2 linked regions of the Nothobranchius furzeri genome follow. The protein of the gene in region 1 purifies or fractionates together with the protein of each later gene. This does not show direct contact. Links are inferred from orthologs where the notes say so. Each region holds a gene or a part of one and is shown on either strand. Other genes may lie near its edges.

Region 1 (8,235 bases):
CTGGGGTGAACTGCTTGGTCGTTTCTTTGAAACCTTGGTCGCCGACCAACATGTTCAAAATGGCCTCGGTCAGGACGTTTGCTTGTCGAAGTGCATACGGTTGGCTTTGATGCAAAGTCACCCAATAAAGAGAGCTCTGTAATGTAGCGGGACGCAATAAATCATTAGCATTTGTAACGTTGGAGCAAAGCGTGACAAATGTGTGCTAAAGGTAATTAAATCTGCAATGTCTTCTATTCTAAAGATGAGTATTAAATAGCTGCATCATGTGATCATTGTCACATCTGGGTAGTCGGGTTCCCTCTAAAGTCTGGTTGTACTGAAGGTGGAGGATGTGTTAATTTGACTTGCTGCTAGTCTTTCTGCACACTTTGACTTTTGTCTTGTGCTTTCATCACTTCCTCCTTGCTGAATCCATCATTTAGCTAAATGACTGAAGCCTTTTTTGGGAACAAACATCTCCTCCACCAAATCTACGACCACTCGCACTTGTACCCATAGCCTGCAGTTCGCCGTGGCTGCCCGCGGAGCGCTGCAGCACTGAGCAGAATGCTGCTACGAGCAGCCACGAATGGCGAAAAACCACAGCCCATGATTAGAAACCGACACAAAACCATGAGCTACACGCAGCCTGCCGCTTCCGTATTTGAATCTATGTCCATTTCCTTATTTTTCCCTCCTGGTTAAAGACTAGATGGGGTGGAGTCACGTGACTTAACGTGACTAGCTGTGACGCGGACTCGACTGGTCTGCGTCACAGCGCCTTAAAGAGACATGGACATCAGTAACCTACTCACGTAATGGTACATGTTCGGTTTACTGACCAGCCCGAGTCTTGTTACAAAAGCAAACATCTGAAATGGGGTTCGTTGTTGTAACTGATACTATGGAGAAGACCAACAGTGGAGGGTTGGTGTCCAAGAGTCACACCTCTGACATAATTGGTGTTTACTAGGAAATGCTGAAAGGAAGCACAGTGTAATGACTATTTAAAGCAGCGAGGGACTTTTGGGTGGGGGAATACTATTGTGTCGGCCCCTGAAAACACACACACACACACACACACACACACACACACACACTACACAAAACGACCAACTGCCTGCCTTCGTCCTATGGCCGTCTGTCTGCTGCCCTTCACTGAGGGTCACGGCTGGATGGAGACGTAGAAAGGGAAGTCTGTTTATGTGTCCTTTTCCTGGTCAGAGGGCACCCACACACGTGCATGTGTTTGTACACCGATTGGTGCACCCTTTACATGTTGGTTGTGAGTGTGTAGATACACTAACACCACACTTAAAACAATGTAAGGAGGCATTTCTGTTTGTTTGTGTATCGAGACACACACCGCTCATCATCTCCGCCGTACTGAGGGGCCGAGCACAGCGGCCAACCCAGCACCATTTGCTGGTGTTTTCCGCTCGAGTGCGTAGACTTCTTTGACTCACACACCAGCTGGTCAGCCACTGAATGAAGCTGTGGGCCCGAGTCCATGTCATTTGTGAGGTCTTGGAGGGGGGTTGCGGTGGTTGGGGGACTTATCTGGTTTCTAGAAGACATCATCATTTTAACCCTCGTTCTACTCATCACCTCCTACTCACTAAGTGGATTATGGTAGAAGTGTGAATCAAACACTCTGTCAGACTTTATTAGATCAAGACTAAGCGAGAACTCTGCTCAAGCTACCTAGCCCCAAATTCTTTGTAACTTATTTGTTCGCAGGTGTGAGACCTGTTTGAGAATATTCCGGTTTGAAAAGAACAAGTCTAAGCTGGTTTCAGAACAGTTCGTTCCTTCTCCCAACAGTTTACTTTTGCCAGCATGACATGGATAATTTGTTGTCGGAGGTCAGTCTTTGGGCACATACAGAAAGAAAGCGCCAATTAACTAAAGCAAGACATCTGCTTAGTAACAGAGATCTGTGCTGTACAAAGCAGGCGCCTGTTCGTGTGTGTGTGTGTGTGTGTGTGTGTGTGTGTGTGTGTGTGTGTGTGTGTGTGTGTGTGTGTGTGTGTGTGTGTATCAAACATCTGCCACAGGCCTCCTCTCATTAACTTCTTCTATGCTAAGCTGACTTTGACACTCAGCTCCTTGCTGCAGGTTCCTGTCATTCATGTCTTTTGTCATAGAGTTGAATGATAAAACTGAATTGTTGTGGGGATTTGAAAAAGCCATCTGTCACAGCGAATCACATTCAACATATAAAATGCATTTCAAAAGTTTCATATAGCTACAAACATTTGGCCGATTCACATTCACCATATTACAAACTTTTATCAAATACGCATTTATCAGAGCTGTGGAATCGAGTCACATGACTTTGGACTCGAGTCAGACTCGAGTTATTTTAATGACTTTTGACTTGATCTGATAAAATCTATAAAGACGTACGACTTGACTCGGACTTGAACGCCAATGACTTGTGACTTAAATCAACTTGCATTTGTTGGAATTGTTGATGACTTGAGCATTTTTGATATTTTAGCACAAAATTGGCACAACATGGACAAAAATCATGAATCATTCATCGTTCTGGGTTTGATCTTGTTCTGCTAAATGCAGCAGCACTTTGTTTATAATCAGTTTCAGCTGCACTTTCTGCTTGTTTGAGCAAAAAAATGAAGCTTTAAGAAGCTTTATTTCTGAAATGTATTTATTATCTGTAGCCACATTTACATGCGCACAATTAATTGGATTGAACACCCAATCAGATCAAAAATTCTGCATGTAAACATGTCAGTGGGAATGTTCTGATCCGATTCGTCCCGATCGGAATGAATTTTCAATCCTATTGAGAGAGGTGATTTTGTCCAATCATCATCCCGATTGATGTACACCACCATTCGGTTTGTTGAAATAATGCCCACTGTGCATGTGTGCAACAGCTAGTGAGCCTCCCCATCATCATTTGGACTGCCTGACTTAAAAAATGACGGCCTAATTAACGAATGCCGGCTTTTAAATATGATGGCAAACCGTCCCCGTTTCTGTAATATCTGATCCAGAAATTGCATTTTGTGGAAGAAAAATAAAAATCTGATTATTGCACAAATCATTCGGTAAACATATTCAAGTCTGTACTGAAAATATACAGATTCATTTTGGGTTTGCAGCACGGATCCCCGTTTCTGTGAACGCAGCAGCTGTTTCTGCCGCAGGTGGATGGAGATGTGCTGTAAAGAAGACAGGGTAACATCGGTTACACAGACCTGGTTTGAGTTTAAGGAGAATGATGTTGGGTAGAAAAACATCCTCAGTTAAATATTCTGGGCAACTATCTGTGTAAAATTACGTTAACGCAGATGAGAAGAGATGCGGTTCGTTTAACACATGATGAACACAGGCTTCCAGACTTTCTGAACATCTCCTGCTATTTAGTTTAAACCAACTTTTCTCAGCAGTTTCAGCTGACTGTCACATTTTATTAATAATAAGCCACAACAGAGCTCAGTAATAAAACGAGTCTGACACCCCACCCCCCCGCTCCATGCAGCGCTGCGCCAAGCCGTCATGTCAGACCCACGGACCAGCTGATCAAGAGGAAGAGACAAGGATAACCCTCCTTTATTTTAATATTATTAATAATGAAACGCAGTAAAGTATATATCTGCAGTTAAAGCATAACTTCTATGAGAAAAATAAATACATTAAATTGATTAAATGAATCAGCAAATCAGAAAAAATGGTTTATTTCTGTTTTTACATTTTAATTTCTTCATGATGTTTGTTTACACATTTTTTTTTCCAGGAAAGAAATTTCTGCGCATGCTGATTGAATACTTGGTGCATTTAAACTCAAAGCATGATCGGATCATTTCAGTTAGTGTGCATTTGAACAGAGGTTTGGGATTTCCGATCAACCAAGATTTGAATCGGACTGGGGAAATATGGCACATGTAAACGTGTCTAGTGTCATTAAATTGAAGTCGGACAAATGACTTGATTAGGACTTGAAAATTCAAAGTTAAGGACTTTGGACTCGACTTGGACTTGGTTATCTTTGACTTGGACTTGACTCTAGACTTAACAGGACTTACTTGTGACTTGCAAAGCAGTGACTTGGTCACACCTCTGGTATTTATCTCCTGTTGTGCTTCTGGTTCTGACATCCTTGTGATGATCCTATAAATCCTCTGATCTCTCCATATTCGCTTCCAGGATATGATGTTCCAGCTTCTTCAGGGTTTGGACTTCCTGCATTCACACCGCGTGGTTCACCGGGACCTGAAACCCCAAAACATTCTGGTCACCAGCGGAGGACAGATCAAACTGGCCGACTTCGGGCTGGCACGCATCTACAGCTTTCAGATGGCGCTTACGTCTGTGGTGAGTCCTGACACCTTTGAGGTTTTGCATCTGCCATACACCCAACACTGACCACTTAGCTTTCAGCCCTTCAATTGTTATGTTTTAAATATATACCTGTCTAACGGTTGTTGTTTATTTCTGTGACTAATATATGCAGGTATGTGGTGTCGTTAAAAAAACACAACTGCAAACTATTCTGATGTGCTATGGCAGGCTCACAATGTGTCGTTTTAATCTCTAGAAATAGCCATTGAAATGTTGTTGAAATTGATTGAAATAATACCCAGTTATAAAATTCAATTTCAATTCAGTTTATGTATATGCTTCAAATCACGACAAGAGTCGTCTCAAGGCACTTCACGAAGTAAACATTCCATTACAGGTCAGTTCATTAAGCCAATCAGTAAAAAGTTTCCTACATAAGGAACCCAGCAGGTTGCATCAAGTCACTGACTAGTGTCAGAGTCTTTACAGCAATCCTCATACTAAGCAAGCATGTAGCGACTGTGGAGAGGAAAACTCCCTTTTAACAGGAAGAAACCTCCAGAAGATCCTGACTCAGTGTAAGCAGCCATCCACCACGACTCACTGGGGATCAAGAAGACAGAGCGCGTGTGCACACACACACACACACACACACACACACACACACACACACACACACACACACACATACACACAACATATATGCTAACAAGTGTTTCTTTTGCTACATTGTAGGGCTGGGCGATATAGCCCAATTTCAATATCACGATATATTGAGGATTTCACTTCTAACGATAAATGGACGATAACTACAGGTATGCGCAGAGACAAAAGTTGTCCACTAGATGGGGCTGTCACATGTATTACGTTGAGTCACATTTTTACGTGACTTAAGGTGGTACAGCTTCTTAAAGGAACATGAACATTGCCAACCTACACACATCTTTTCATTTTTTAATTATCAAATGTATCGACATGGGAAAAATCATCTCGATAAGAGTCACATATTTTGATTGTGAAAAGCTGCATTGTAATTACTTAGTAGATATTCTTTTTATTAAGAAATAAACTTTATTGTCTATCTTAGTGAATCTATAATTAATTCAACAGGTAAACTAGTAGTAGCACATTCCATGTCAAAGAAAGTAAAATGTTAAAATCAGGAGAGCGAGAATGTTTTTAGCAGCAGTGTGCTAGCCGATGGCCCCCTCCATGAGGCTATCACAGTTCAGCAGAACTCCATTGTAGCTTCTTCTGGGGAGAGAAACACTTAGAGAGAAAGTAAAGTTAACAGCTGAAAGTATGTCCTCCAGCTGTCTTAGCCTATAGCAGTATAACTACAGAGATAACTCTGGATAACCTAGCCTTTTAGATGGAGGCATGTTGGAGGCACAGAGGTAGCCTGGCTAGCCAGAGCATGGGGCTGGCTACTGGAACTCTCCTATTCAAATAACCCCACCCCCTGAGAATTCTAGCCGAGCCAATCAGCGCTGAGCAACATACGTCTCACACCACGACGCTGAATTTTTCGTAAGCGTGGCAACTGGAGGGGAGTTCGTTGCGGCTCTTTTCCTCTGTTCTAAATTACTTCAACACATCTTTAAAACCACAACAAGAAGAAGCTAAAAGCCTTTCTTCTAAAGAAAGATGTTTGCACTGTCGCAAGATGCCATTTTTGACTACAGCTAAAAAACTACAGCGTCGCGCGGTACCGTCAGCATCTCTGTCCTTATTCTGAGTGGTTATTTTTGAGCTGGCTAGTCCCACCCCTCATGTGCCTCTCTGCCTGTGAGTAACCAGAATAGTTCTCTGTGTAGAACAGAGGATGAGTCTGGCAGTCCAGGCTAGCAGGGAGGAGGGGTTGAGAAAACTTGGCGGCTTCATAAAATATAACAATAAAAAAGGTCTAAAATACATGGTAGCGGGTTTATGTCACTGGGCGACACCATATTAGATGCCATGTTTCCTTCTACAGAAGCCCATGAGGACAAAATGCATTTACTGGTTTGTAACAAATGGCTACAAAACTTTCACCATTCGTTGGTTTACACATTTACCTCTTCACTCATTGCCAGTGATGTGCTTGTCTTGTTGCTGGAGTTTGTGCTTGCGGGGATTTTTGACCCTACTGAGCATCTGTTGGTAAGGTCTTACTCCAACTCAAAAACACAGCATGCTTGCAACAATTTAGGTATGTACTGCCCCCTATCGCCAGGGAAGTACACACCATCCCTTTACTGAGATGTTTAAAGTTTTAGTTTCACCAGAACTTCGTGACACCATATTTTTTTATTGGAAGCATTTGATTACATTTCTATATGTATTTTAAATTTTCACTGCCTGTAACATTTATGTATTTTATTTTAATGTCCATCCATCCACCCATCCATTTTCATCCGCTTATCCAGAGTCGGGTCGCGGGGGCAGTAGCCTAAGGCGAGAGGCCCAGACTTCCCTCTCCCCAGCCACTTGGGCCAGCTCCTCCGGGAGAATCCCAAGGCGTTCCCTGGCCAGGTGAGACACATAGTCCCTCCACCGTGTCCTGGGTCCGCCTTCAGGTCTCCTTCCGGTTGGACGTGCCCGGAAAACCTCACCAGGGAGGAGTCCAGGAGGCATCCTGACCAGATGCCCGAGCCACCTCAAATGGCTCCTCTCGATGTGGAGGAGCAGCGGGTCTACTCCGAGCCCCTCCCGAATGACCAAGCCTCTCACCCTATCTCTAAGGGAGAGCCCAGCCACTCTTCGGAGAAAACTCATTTCGGCCGCTTGTATCTGTGATCTCGTTCTTTCGGTCACTACCCAAAGCTCATGACCATAGGTGAGGGTAGGAACGTAGATCGACTGGTAAATCGAGAGCTTTGCCTTCTGACTCAGCTCTCTCTTCACCATGACATCACTGCAGATGCAGCACCAATCCGCCTATTGATCTCATACTCCAGTTTTCCCTTACTCGTGAACAAGACCCTAAGATACTTAAACTCCTCCACTTGGGGCAGGACCTCATCCCTGACCCAGAGAAGGCATTCTACCCTTTTCCGAATCAAGACCATGGTCTCAGATTTAGAGGAGCTGATTCTCATAGAGAAGAGCTGAAAGGAAGCGTTGGAATAAAGAGGCATGAAACTTTTACAATCATATGCTCTCTACAACAGAGAAAATTATGCCTTGTTTTGCTTTTTAAAGTGGAGCTTTGTTTTAGGTTCTGTAAGAGTAGACAGTATCTTACCTACAGCAGACACTGGTCAGAATGATCCATTTGGAGAATCAACCCTTTATGACAGATGGAAGTGCCGGCAATCCCATTTGCATATCTGTGTTCAAATGCTTGTAGAACTGTAACTAAATAAGATGGAACAAAAAATATTTTTTGCATATTAAACAGGAGGAGTTACGCTTATATCTCACACACTAAACACGTCCCTGAGCGCTGCGCATTTCCGCTAATGAGTTTGCAAGAAAAAAACCAAAATGCACAAATAAGAAAAGCATTTTCATTCAGACACAGATACTGTGAAGCCCTATGATCTGCAGCTCATAGGGCTTCACAGGCTAGAATAAACGTCATCACGTTGTCTACGTGAACTGTCACATGGTTATCACTCACCCAATCACCTGCTTTGACGTCCTTTTCCCACGAAGTTTACTGTTTTGTAGTTCTTTGTAGTCCCAGTCTTTAGGCTTTTTCTTGTGCTTTTTTGCAATAATACGTTTAGACAACCACATCCTACACACATCACACACCCACTACAGACTCCCGACACACACACACCACTATGAATGTTTTGATGAATCACGGACCCGCCAAACGGTGCATGCTCCCTCCTCGAAGTGGTTGACGCCATTACAGCACCGGATGATGTTTAAGTTTCAGTTTTTGTTTCCTCACATAAATATTCATGCAATATTCTTTATTATTATTATTATTATTATTATTATTATTAT
Region 2 (8,611 bases), on another chromosome or scaffold:
CATCATCGTTTTAATCTGCTCCAGCAGCTAAATAAACTGTTTAAGATAACGTTAGCTTGATATGTTAGCTTCCTATGCCACCATTGTTATCATCTAATGGTGCGTTCGCTTTCTCCTCAGAAATTCTAACTTCCCAGTAGGAAAAATCAATTGAAAAAGAGACTGTAAAAGGAATGAAGATACACAGTAAATTTAGTTCACAGCAAAGATGTTTGCTTCAGTTTAATTATCAACTTTTAAAACTACAAGGACGATGTTAATACAAACAGTTTAATGTTATTTATCGTGATATTTATCAAATATTGTTATATATTGAGAAAAATATATATTTAATTATAAAAGAGAATTAAAAATATTAAACACTCAAAAGTATCGAATATTGGTACCGTTAAGTACCGGTATCGATTCTTAGGTACCGGGAATTAGTACCGGATCGATTCAAATGTCAAAGGTACCCATCCCTAGTCACCCGTCTTTTCACGACTTCTAGAGTGAAGTGCTCCCATACGCTTGATGTTTTTGTTTGGGTATTTTCCTCAGTTTTATAGTTTGTTATTTTTTCTGTACTTTTTGTTGCTCCGCCATCCTCGGTGTGAGCATGCACATCAGCGATGTGCGTGGTACGTCATGAAAAACAAGTGTACCTATTGGCTGATTTCTTCTTCTACTGCTCCACTGGTAGGTCAGTGGCTCACTCGCTGCAAATTTAACAGATTGTAATGGATGTGACAAATTGTGTTAAAAATAGGCCGCTTACGGTAAAATGTGATTATAAATCAATGACAAAAAATGTTGTCAACTATTTCAATAATCGATTAAATCGATTAGTTGTTTCAGCTCTAGTGCTATAGCAAATCTGTAAAACAAATTAGCTTAAAACAGTCTTTCATGCCTCTTAAATACATTCTAACGTGGTACAGCTAAAAATATATTGTGGAGATTAAAAAACAACAAAAAAAATGAATAAAGTAGTTCTCTCCCGTTTGTCTGAAAACTTCCGCCAATAACACATTGTTGTTCTCACCAAACCGCCGCACTTCTCAGTGTCCTCCATTCATTACACACTCATATTTCAGCAACAGAACAGCACTGGTGTGAGAGGTCCTCTGCTCAATTATATCAGAGGAGAAACAGTCGGCTGCTACCACTTCAACTTGAGGACAAACTACCCGAGTCCCAAAAAGAAAAACACAGTTTGAAGTCAGACAACAAAAGATGTTTGGACCTAGAAAACAGCAACTGGTTTTTAGCACGCTCTCGTTTCCTGTGGCAACACGGGATTCTGGTTCTGGTGGACGTGAACCCAGTGAAGATACCCGAGGGGAACGTTGAGTGTTCCGTGACCGTGTTTGCATTCAAAACCTTGTTCTGTAGATTTGCTATAGCAGCTTTAACTCTAGGAATTTCAAAGCAGCGGTCTTTGTTTTCCACAAGGTCATTCTCCTTTAACCCAGAGTCTTAATCATACATGTTTATGTTGGCAGGTATCGGATGGTTTCAGAGGGGGCAATCTCGATTAACCACAAACGGGCTGACCATCCAGAGCAGGTGCTGATCCCCAAAGTCCACATCCTGACTAATGGACTCACGCTGCTCAAAGTAGGAAAAAGGAATTTCTACATCATCAAGTGGCTCGGCCTCTGACACTCCCTGATTGAGAATGAAGGCACTAAACTAAACTGTAATGACTGATGACGAAGGTAGGCAGCAATACTTTGGCAGTCAGTGAGAAGATTTTGATGGACTTTTACTTTATAAGTATTTGTTTTTATGGACATATAAATATGTAAATGCATAGCTGTGATGCTTATTTAAAAGTGTGGTATTAAAGTATTTGATAAGATTGGTTTCTTGCTGATTTTGTGCTGCAATAGTTTAGTCAAGTGAACACAAGATGGCGCTATTGTTTTAATGGCTGGCTGTAGCCGGCCTCATCTGCACCACTTATCCTGCTGTGACCCTTTTAAGTAAACATTTTTTCCAGTAAAAGTACATTGCATCATTTCTCACAAAACAGTTTAAACACTGCACTTTTATTTTGGAACATGAGGCCAAAATCAGCCTTACGTCTGGTGTTTTATTTTCTGTCAGTTTGTGTAAAAAGTAACAAAAGGAGAAAAAAGGTTTTCATGCAGTCATTGACAAAAAGAAACTACCTTAAATTATTTGTATTATATATATATAATGATGTAATTCTCTCTTTTGGGAGTGCATGCTGACTTTTATGTGAAATTGTGAATTTTTTCAGCTGCGATGTAAAAACCAATGCTCGACCCACGGCAGGTTTGATTTCTGCAGGTTCTTGGCTTATTAGTTTTGTTTTACACTCCGTTGTAGTGTGTCTTTGGCATACGTGTGTTGCTTTATGATGCTGGATTTTTTTTTTAAATTTGGTAAATATTTGGTTAATACTTATATTTAGAATAAATCAACTATTAAAAACAGAGTAATGCACACTGAAGATGTTTAGAAAAATAATGGTTTTGACTCCTTTGCAAATTACCTGTAAATTTAGTATTTTTTTTAGATGTGTAACTATAAAGCTTGTGTGATGTAGTCATTTACACAAAAATACGTTTTCTATTTTTAAGAAGCATACATAAATATTTATTTTAGTAAAACGTGATGGAAAAATATGAGCCGACTTCCCCACTCATACACGCCTACTGTCACTTTAAATAAAGTAGGTGGGGCCAGGTGTCGCTTAACCAATGAGCGTCCTTTGCCGGGTTTAAATAGCTCTGTGTGTCAATCATAAGCCCCTCCCCCTCCCGTCTCAGTCCCCACCACTGCTCTGCTCCTCAATCGCCATATTGGGTGCTGAGGTTTCTCTGCAGTTTCTCTCTGAGCGGAGCGAAACTGACAGCGTCCTCAGTTCCTGTGCACTTTGTTTTGATGATTCTCGGAGACCATCTTCGACTCCAGAGCCCCGCAGCAGTTAACGTCTTCCACTTCGACGTATGCATGGCATAGGTGTAGAGCTGCGTCGGATCTTTCCCCCGTGACCTGGAGATACCGCTGTTGTTGTTTTTTATTTGTATTTTTTTTTCAGCGACGTGTTTTTCTTATGACAGCTGGACGCTCCCGGCTGACTGAAAATAGCGTGTTTATTGGGGGGAGGGGAAATGTCTAATGTTCGAGTTTCAAACGGGAGTCCGACGTTGGAGCGGACGGAGGCCCGGGTGTCGGAGCACCCGAAGCCGTCTGCCTGCAGAAGTCTGTTCGGCCCGGTGGATCACGAAGAGTTAAAGAAGGATTTTAACGAACACATGCGGGAGTTCAAAGAGGCTGCCGCTGCCAAGTGGGGCTTCGACTTCGCCAGTGACACGCCACTGAGCAACGGCAGGTTCAAATGGGAACTAGTGGATTCCGAGGAGATGCCGGACTTCTACCACCGGCAGCCGCGGAGGGAGAAGGGCGTCTGCCCCAGGAGCACCAGTGTGGATCTAAACGGGAACCATAACTGCGTCCTGGTGGCGTCGAGCGGGGATACCAGCAAGCCCGACGGTCAAACGGAGTGCACCGGGCTGAGGAAGAGACCTGCTAGTCACGGTACTACATTTGCATCTAATCAGGTTTTAGAGCCGGAGCTCGGCTTTCACCCGACAGGAAGCACATCTATAACCCTCTTCTTGTGTTTTTGCTCCGAGTTTCCCTGACAGAATTTCTTTGCTGTTCGCAGAGCCTCCGACCCAAAACAAGAGGTCCCATACCAGCCCAGACGAGGTTAGCTGTCCGAACCTGAGCCACTCAGTAGAACACACACCCAGAAAGCCCAGTCCCAAGAGACAGACGTGAGCCCGAGAGAAAACGGTGAGGCTTAAACTCATCCGTATACAATAACCGCATGTAGCTTCTGTTCCTCAGCTGTGATCTGAGCCACAGCAGGTTATATAACACGTTCTCTCCACATATTATCGAGTAGCTTTAACGGTGCTGCACGCTTATTTTATCTTCAGTAAGTAAAATGCTGGACTCTAGTAACCATTTCAACATTTTATATTCATTTAATCACAATGAGATCAACTCTGCCGAGAGAAAAAGGCTTTAACGTCTCACTGCTGCAGCTTTTCTACTAAACTGTAAACAAGGGCTGAACAACAGTGTAGTAGTAACACGTCAGCAGCCACTGCCCTCGGAGCAGAGCAGAGAAGGGGCTGGTCTCTGAACACACACACGCACGCACGCACACACACACACACGCACGCACGCTGTCCCTGCAGGCAGAGGAGTGTGCTGAGGAGACCCGCAGGTCCGAATTCAAGTAAAGGGAGGAGGGATGGGCACGATGAGATCTTCCTCACAGTGGTTTAGGACCTGTTTAGGCTGCAGATGAGAACACTTACATCAATGTTTCTTTTTAGCACAGAAATTTGAACAATAACCGGGTGTGATTCAATATGAGGATGTTTTTCTGTTCAAAAGTAAATCCTTGAAAGATTTTATTATAAAATATGATGAAAGAACTGCACTAAAAGACAAAATAGCTGTTAGTTTCATAAGTGTGTGTGTGTGTGTGTGTGTGTGTGTGTGTGTAACAGGTCAGTTTAGCTTAACCTTGTTAGTCTTTTTAAAAATAGGAAACTGATAGGGGGTGCACACTTGAAATAAACAGTCTAGTTATGAAAAATAATTAAAGTGAAACTTTTTCCATGAATTGTTAAAAGATGATTTTTCAAAAATGTTAATACTAACCTTTTTTTTTTCTTATTTTTCCCACCTTCTCCACACAGTTCGAGCATTTTTTTTTTTGCGAGGGTGTTGTTTTTTATATGCATCTTTTATTTTATTTTTTTGGAGGCCTGACTGTTTGTTGGCTTTTTGGGGATGAGGATCTGCGCAGCATCAGAAACATATCGGCTCTTCTGAGGACTGAGGAGGACGCTGTTGAAGCACTGAATAGAAACACTAAAGTTGTGGCACTCAATTAAAAATAAGTTACTGCCTCTAACAGCAGTCGATGTAGCAGTGTGCAATTAGGTTTTATTTCCCTTTTTTGCTCGTTTTGTTACTACCTGTGTGTAAATAAATTAATAAAGATGGATATATATATATATAGGTATAAATATGTCTCCATGTGTAGCACATAAGGAACTTAATTCTAAATCCAATCCTTTTTGTAAAAAGTTGTGAATTTTCATTTGACTTGAAGAATTGCAGTGATGGTTTCCAAAATGCTGTTTTTTATTTTTATTTCCAGACTGTGTGACATTTGCCACTGTCCTTAATTGCTACACTTAAAAAGAAAAAATCATGGCTTCTCACCGTTTCTGTAGTGTTCCTTCACTCCGTCAGCTTCCTAATGCAGCAGTGAAGAATGGTACAAATGTAGCTCACGTATCGTAATTTAATTTGTTTTTTCATTTATTACAGCGCCTCCCTGCAAAGGGCTGGACTCGTCTAAACGACGAGGAGATGTAAAAATTCTGTTAAGATTTTCTGATATTTATTTTTTAATCGAGGTGCTTTTAGCATCAGAGTCCTGGAATATTATGAAACAATTTTTTTGAAGTTTTTCTGTGCGCCTCAGCTACGTTTTAATGTTCGAGTGTTTCCTTTGAGCTGTGAGGTACTCGGCTTTGAAGAACAAGAATCAACGTTTTGCTTTCCTTCTGCCCCTAAACCTTAATCTTCTAAAAGGAAAAAGTCTCGTGGTTTGTTTTTTAGTTTCCAGCCTCTTATTTGACTTCACAGGGAGCTTCTTTGTGATCACATGAATGCTTGTACTCACCCCGTCATTGTCAGCCTGCTGAGGATGCACCAGAAACATGCTCATTGCAGACAGGCTGTCTGTATATTTGTGTAAAATCTTTGCAATGTACCTTTGTACATAATTTGTTAAAAACAAAACAAACATGCAAAAAAACACTGAGAAATTATACTAACTTATTTATGTTAAGCCTTTTATGTAGGATATTAAAAGTGGGTTCTTGATTACGGTTATCCAAAGTGGCATTTGCTAAAATTTTTCTATTTTGCAAAAACATTTTATTTTGTAGGATTTTTTTTTTCTTTGTCAATGAGGTTGCAAACTGAGCCTGATAAATATTGGATGTTTTTTTTTTTTTTTTGTAATGTGATAAAATTGTGTTGCAATCAATTAAAAGAGAAAATTAAATCTGACTCTTAAGTTTTGTTTTAAAAAAGTAGAAATGACTAATGTGTGTAGAGATGTGTGTTTACCTTGTGCGTCTAGGAACGTGTTGGTGCTTTTAACAGCTGTGTGAGTTTGGAGCTGCCAGCAGCACCAGTCTAAGGCCAGATGATTGACACTGGGCTCATCCAGTGAAAATGGGAGGAATAAAAACAGACCACTGGGAGCAGCCAGTAACGTTCAGCAGCTCACTGGAAAAAAGGTTCAGAGTACTAGTGCACAGAAAATATCTTTGAATTTAGAGAGATAAAACACAATGTTAGCTTTTTTTTTTAGCTACAGTAGCAGGTGTGTGTGTGTGTGAGAAACAAGGGATTTGTGTAATGCCTTCAAATTTACACATTTAAAATATGTTTTTGCAAATGCCACATTTTTATGATTATTTTAATTAAAAGATTTACGATGAGAATTTCCATTCATTTTAACATGTTTAAATGAGATTAAATGTGTTTTACATATATATATATATATATATATATTAAACTTAAAAAAAAATTTGTTACATGTCGCATTTGATGATCCTGTTTATGGAAAGTTGTAATTATTTTTACAGTTTTTTTTCCACACAGAGCAGACAAGAGTTTGACCTCTTGTGACTTTAGCCTTCCGGACTCTCGGTTTCTGTCGCATCCCTTCGGCTGTAGAAATCCAAACTGATTTAGCTGCTGCAGAATTATTCTGCTTCCTTCTTGAGCCCCAAGCAGGAAGACACCTGCAGCGTATTTTAAAGCTGGGTGTGTGGGTGGAGATTGTCCAGTTTTGAAGTGTGCAGGTGGGCAACCTCAGCTCAGCCGCTCCACCCCCACCCCAAGCCCGACCCATTGTCCCTTTGTGTTGAAGGCCTTTTAAGGGGCTGGGGCAGGCTACTGTTGTGTCTGGGCTTCTGTGCTCAAACAAAGGAGCCGTCTACAAGCTCCGCCCCCAGCCCACAAGGCCACGGATTGACTGACTGACTGTAGGTGTAGACTATTGGGGATGGAGGGAGTCGGAAGCGCTGTCGGTTTCTAAAGTACTAAAATACCCAGATTAAATCAATATTATCTAGCTTGAACGAACAGCCCCTAGTTACCCCGTGCTAATTATTTTCTAATGAGCTTTCTAATGTTTACGGAGAGGAGCCATCGTATGGGTAGGATGCCTCTCTGGTGAGGTTTTCCAGGCTCGTCCAACCAGGAGGAGACCTAAAGGAAAACCCAGGACACACTGGACTGGGACTTCTCCTCTGGCCAGGGAACACCTTAGGATTCCCCCGGAGGAGCTGGCCTTAGAGGCTGGGGAGGGAGAGGTCTGGGTCTCTGATTTTGGTGCCCCCGCAACAAAGACCACGGATAAGGAGAGGGAAATAGATGTATGGGTAGATGGATTTCTGTTTTTATTTGTGGAAGACTGCTGATATCTGAACCTGTGTAAAGGTGGACTGCCCCTCCCAGGCTGGAACAGAGTATATTGTACTCTAGTCTGTTGTGGTTAAGAACTGAGCCAAAAGGCAAAGCTCTGATTGGTCCGTTTACGTTTGAACAATCACTTATGGATCATGGCTGAGTGTGTCAGTCGAGGAGCTCAGAGTAGATTCACCACCCTCCCCCATCCAAATAAATCTGTCGAGGTAGTTCGGCTCCCCCCGTATGAACCTACAATCTACAGAGTCCAAATGTTTCTGATTTCCTGGCGAGTTTTATATTTCACAGTTCTAATAATTTTGTGAAGAATATTTCACACTTTTGCATTTAACCTTTTAATAATGTTAATCTGTCATCCTCCCAAGCTGACGCTCTTAAAACGGCTCATTTGTAGGCCAACTTATTTTTGCTTAGCTGTTTCCAGGGTGAAAGCATTCCTTCCAATGCAACTATAACATCTACGACTGGCAGCAAGCTGAAGACCGCTGTTGTCAGAGGGGTACATCTCCCTTCCTCCCCCAACTTCCAGCACCAGCGTTCCTGAGTGTGATCCTGCAGCCGCCCAAAGAAAACCCACACTAAACTCTAGGAAATTCCAGAAACACAGGCAGTCAAACACGCGGACGACACCGTCGGCTTCGCTCTTCTCCGCTACATGTCGCATGTGGCAAGAATTCGCACTTCCTCACTGTATCAACAGAAGCAGGTTATCTGTTCCTGTTAACCACTCCGGCACTTCATATAAAGCCACAAGTTCCTCCCCGTACTTCCTGCCGAGGCCGCAACCCACGTCACGGAGCCAGTCCCCTGGCACCTACGGCTGTGAATGGGGGGTGGGGGCAATGCCCACAAACAAACACCTAACATCCTTCTCTCTTACTGCCTCTGTCTTCACTCCTGTGTGAGTCTTGAGAGACTGTGAACAGACCAAAGTAAGTTTGTTTGTTTGAATCTTTTTTGGAATTATGTTCTTTTAGAAAACTCGGATGGATTTGTTGAGTCGCACTGAATTGCTTCATTTCACTGACTCACTTTTGCTCCTCAAGTGTGTGTGTGT

Evidence for each region.
Region 2: the proteins of cdk6 (region 1) and cdkn1bb purify together in Homo sapiens (affinity purification with western blotting; 8 studies listed by BioGRID and IntAct, counting the BioPlex papers as one, with this or other methods). This does not show direct contact. The link is inferred for Nothobranchius furzeri from reciprocal best matches to the Homo sapiens genes CDK6 and CDKN1B.

The regions. Positions count from the first base shown.
Region 1 is NC_091751.1:27,651,208-27,659,442, forward strand, and holds part of cdk6 (cyclin-dependent kinase 6), read left to right. Parts: intron 1-4,158; coding exon 4,159-4,326; intron 4,327-8,235. UniProt on the Homo sapiens protein: Serine/threonine-protein kinase involved in the control of the cell cycle and differentiation; promotes G1/S transition. Phosphorylates pRB/RB1 and NPM1.
Region 2 is NC_091744.1:57,770,538-57,779,148, forward strand, and holds cdkn1bb (cyclin dependent kinase inhibitor 1Bb), read left to right. Parts: upstream 1-2,859; 5' UTR 2,860-3,125; coding exon 3,126-3,552; intron 3,553-3,682; coding exon 3,683-3,798; 3' UTR 3,799-3,813; intron 3,814-4,733; 3' UTR 4,734-5,058; downstream 5,059-8,611. Other genes in the region: yars2 (tyrosine--tRNA ligase, mitochondrial), read left to right, coding at 1,485-1,644. UniProt on the Homo sapiens protein: Important regulator of cell cycle progression. Inhibits the kinase activity of CDK2 bound to cyclin A, but has little inhibitory activity on CDK2 bound to SPDYA. Involved in G1 arrest. Potent inhibitor of cyclin E- and cyclin A-CDK2 complexes.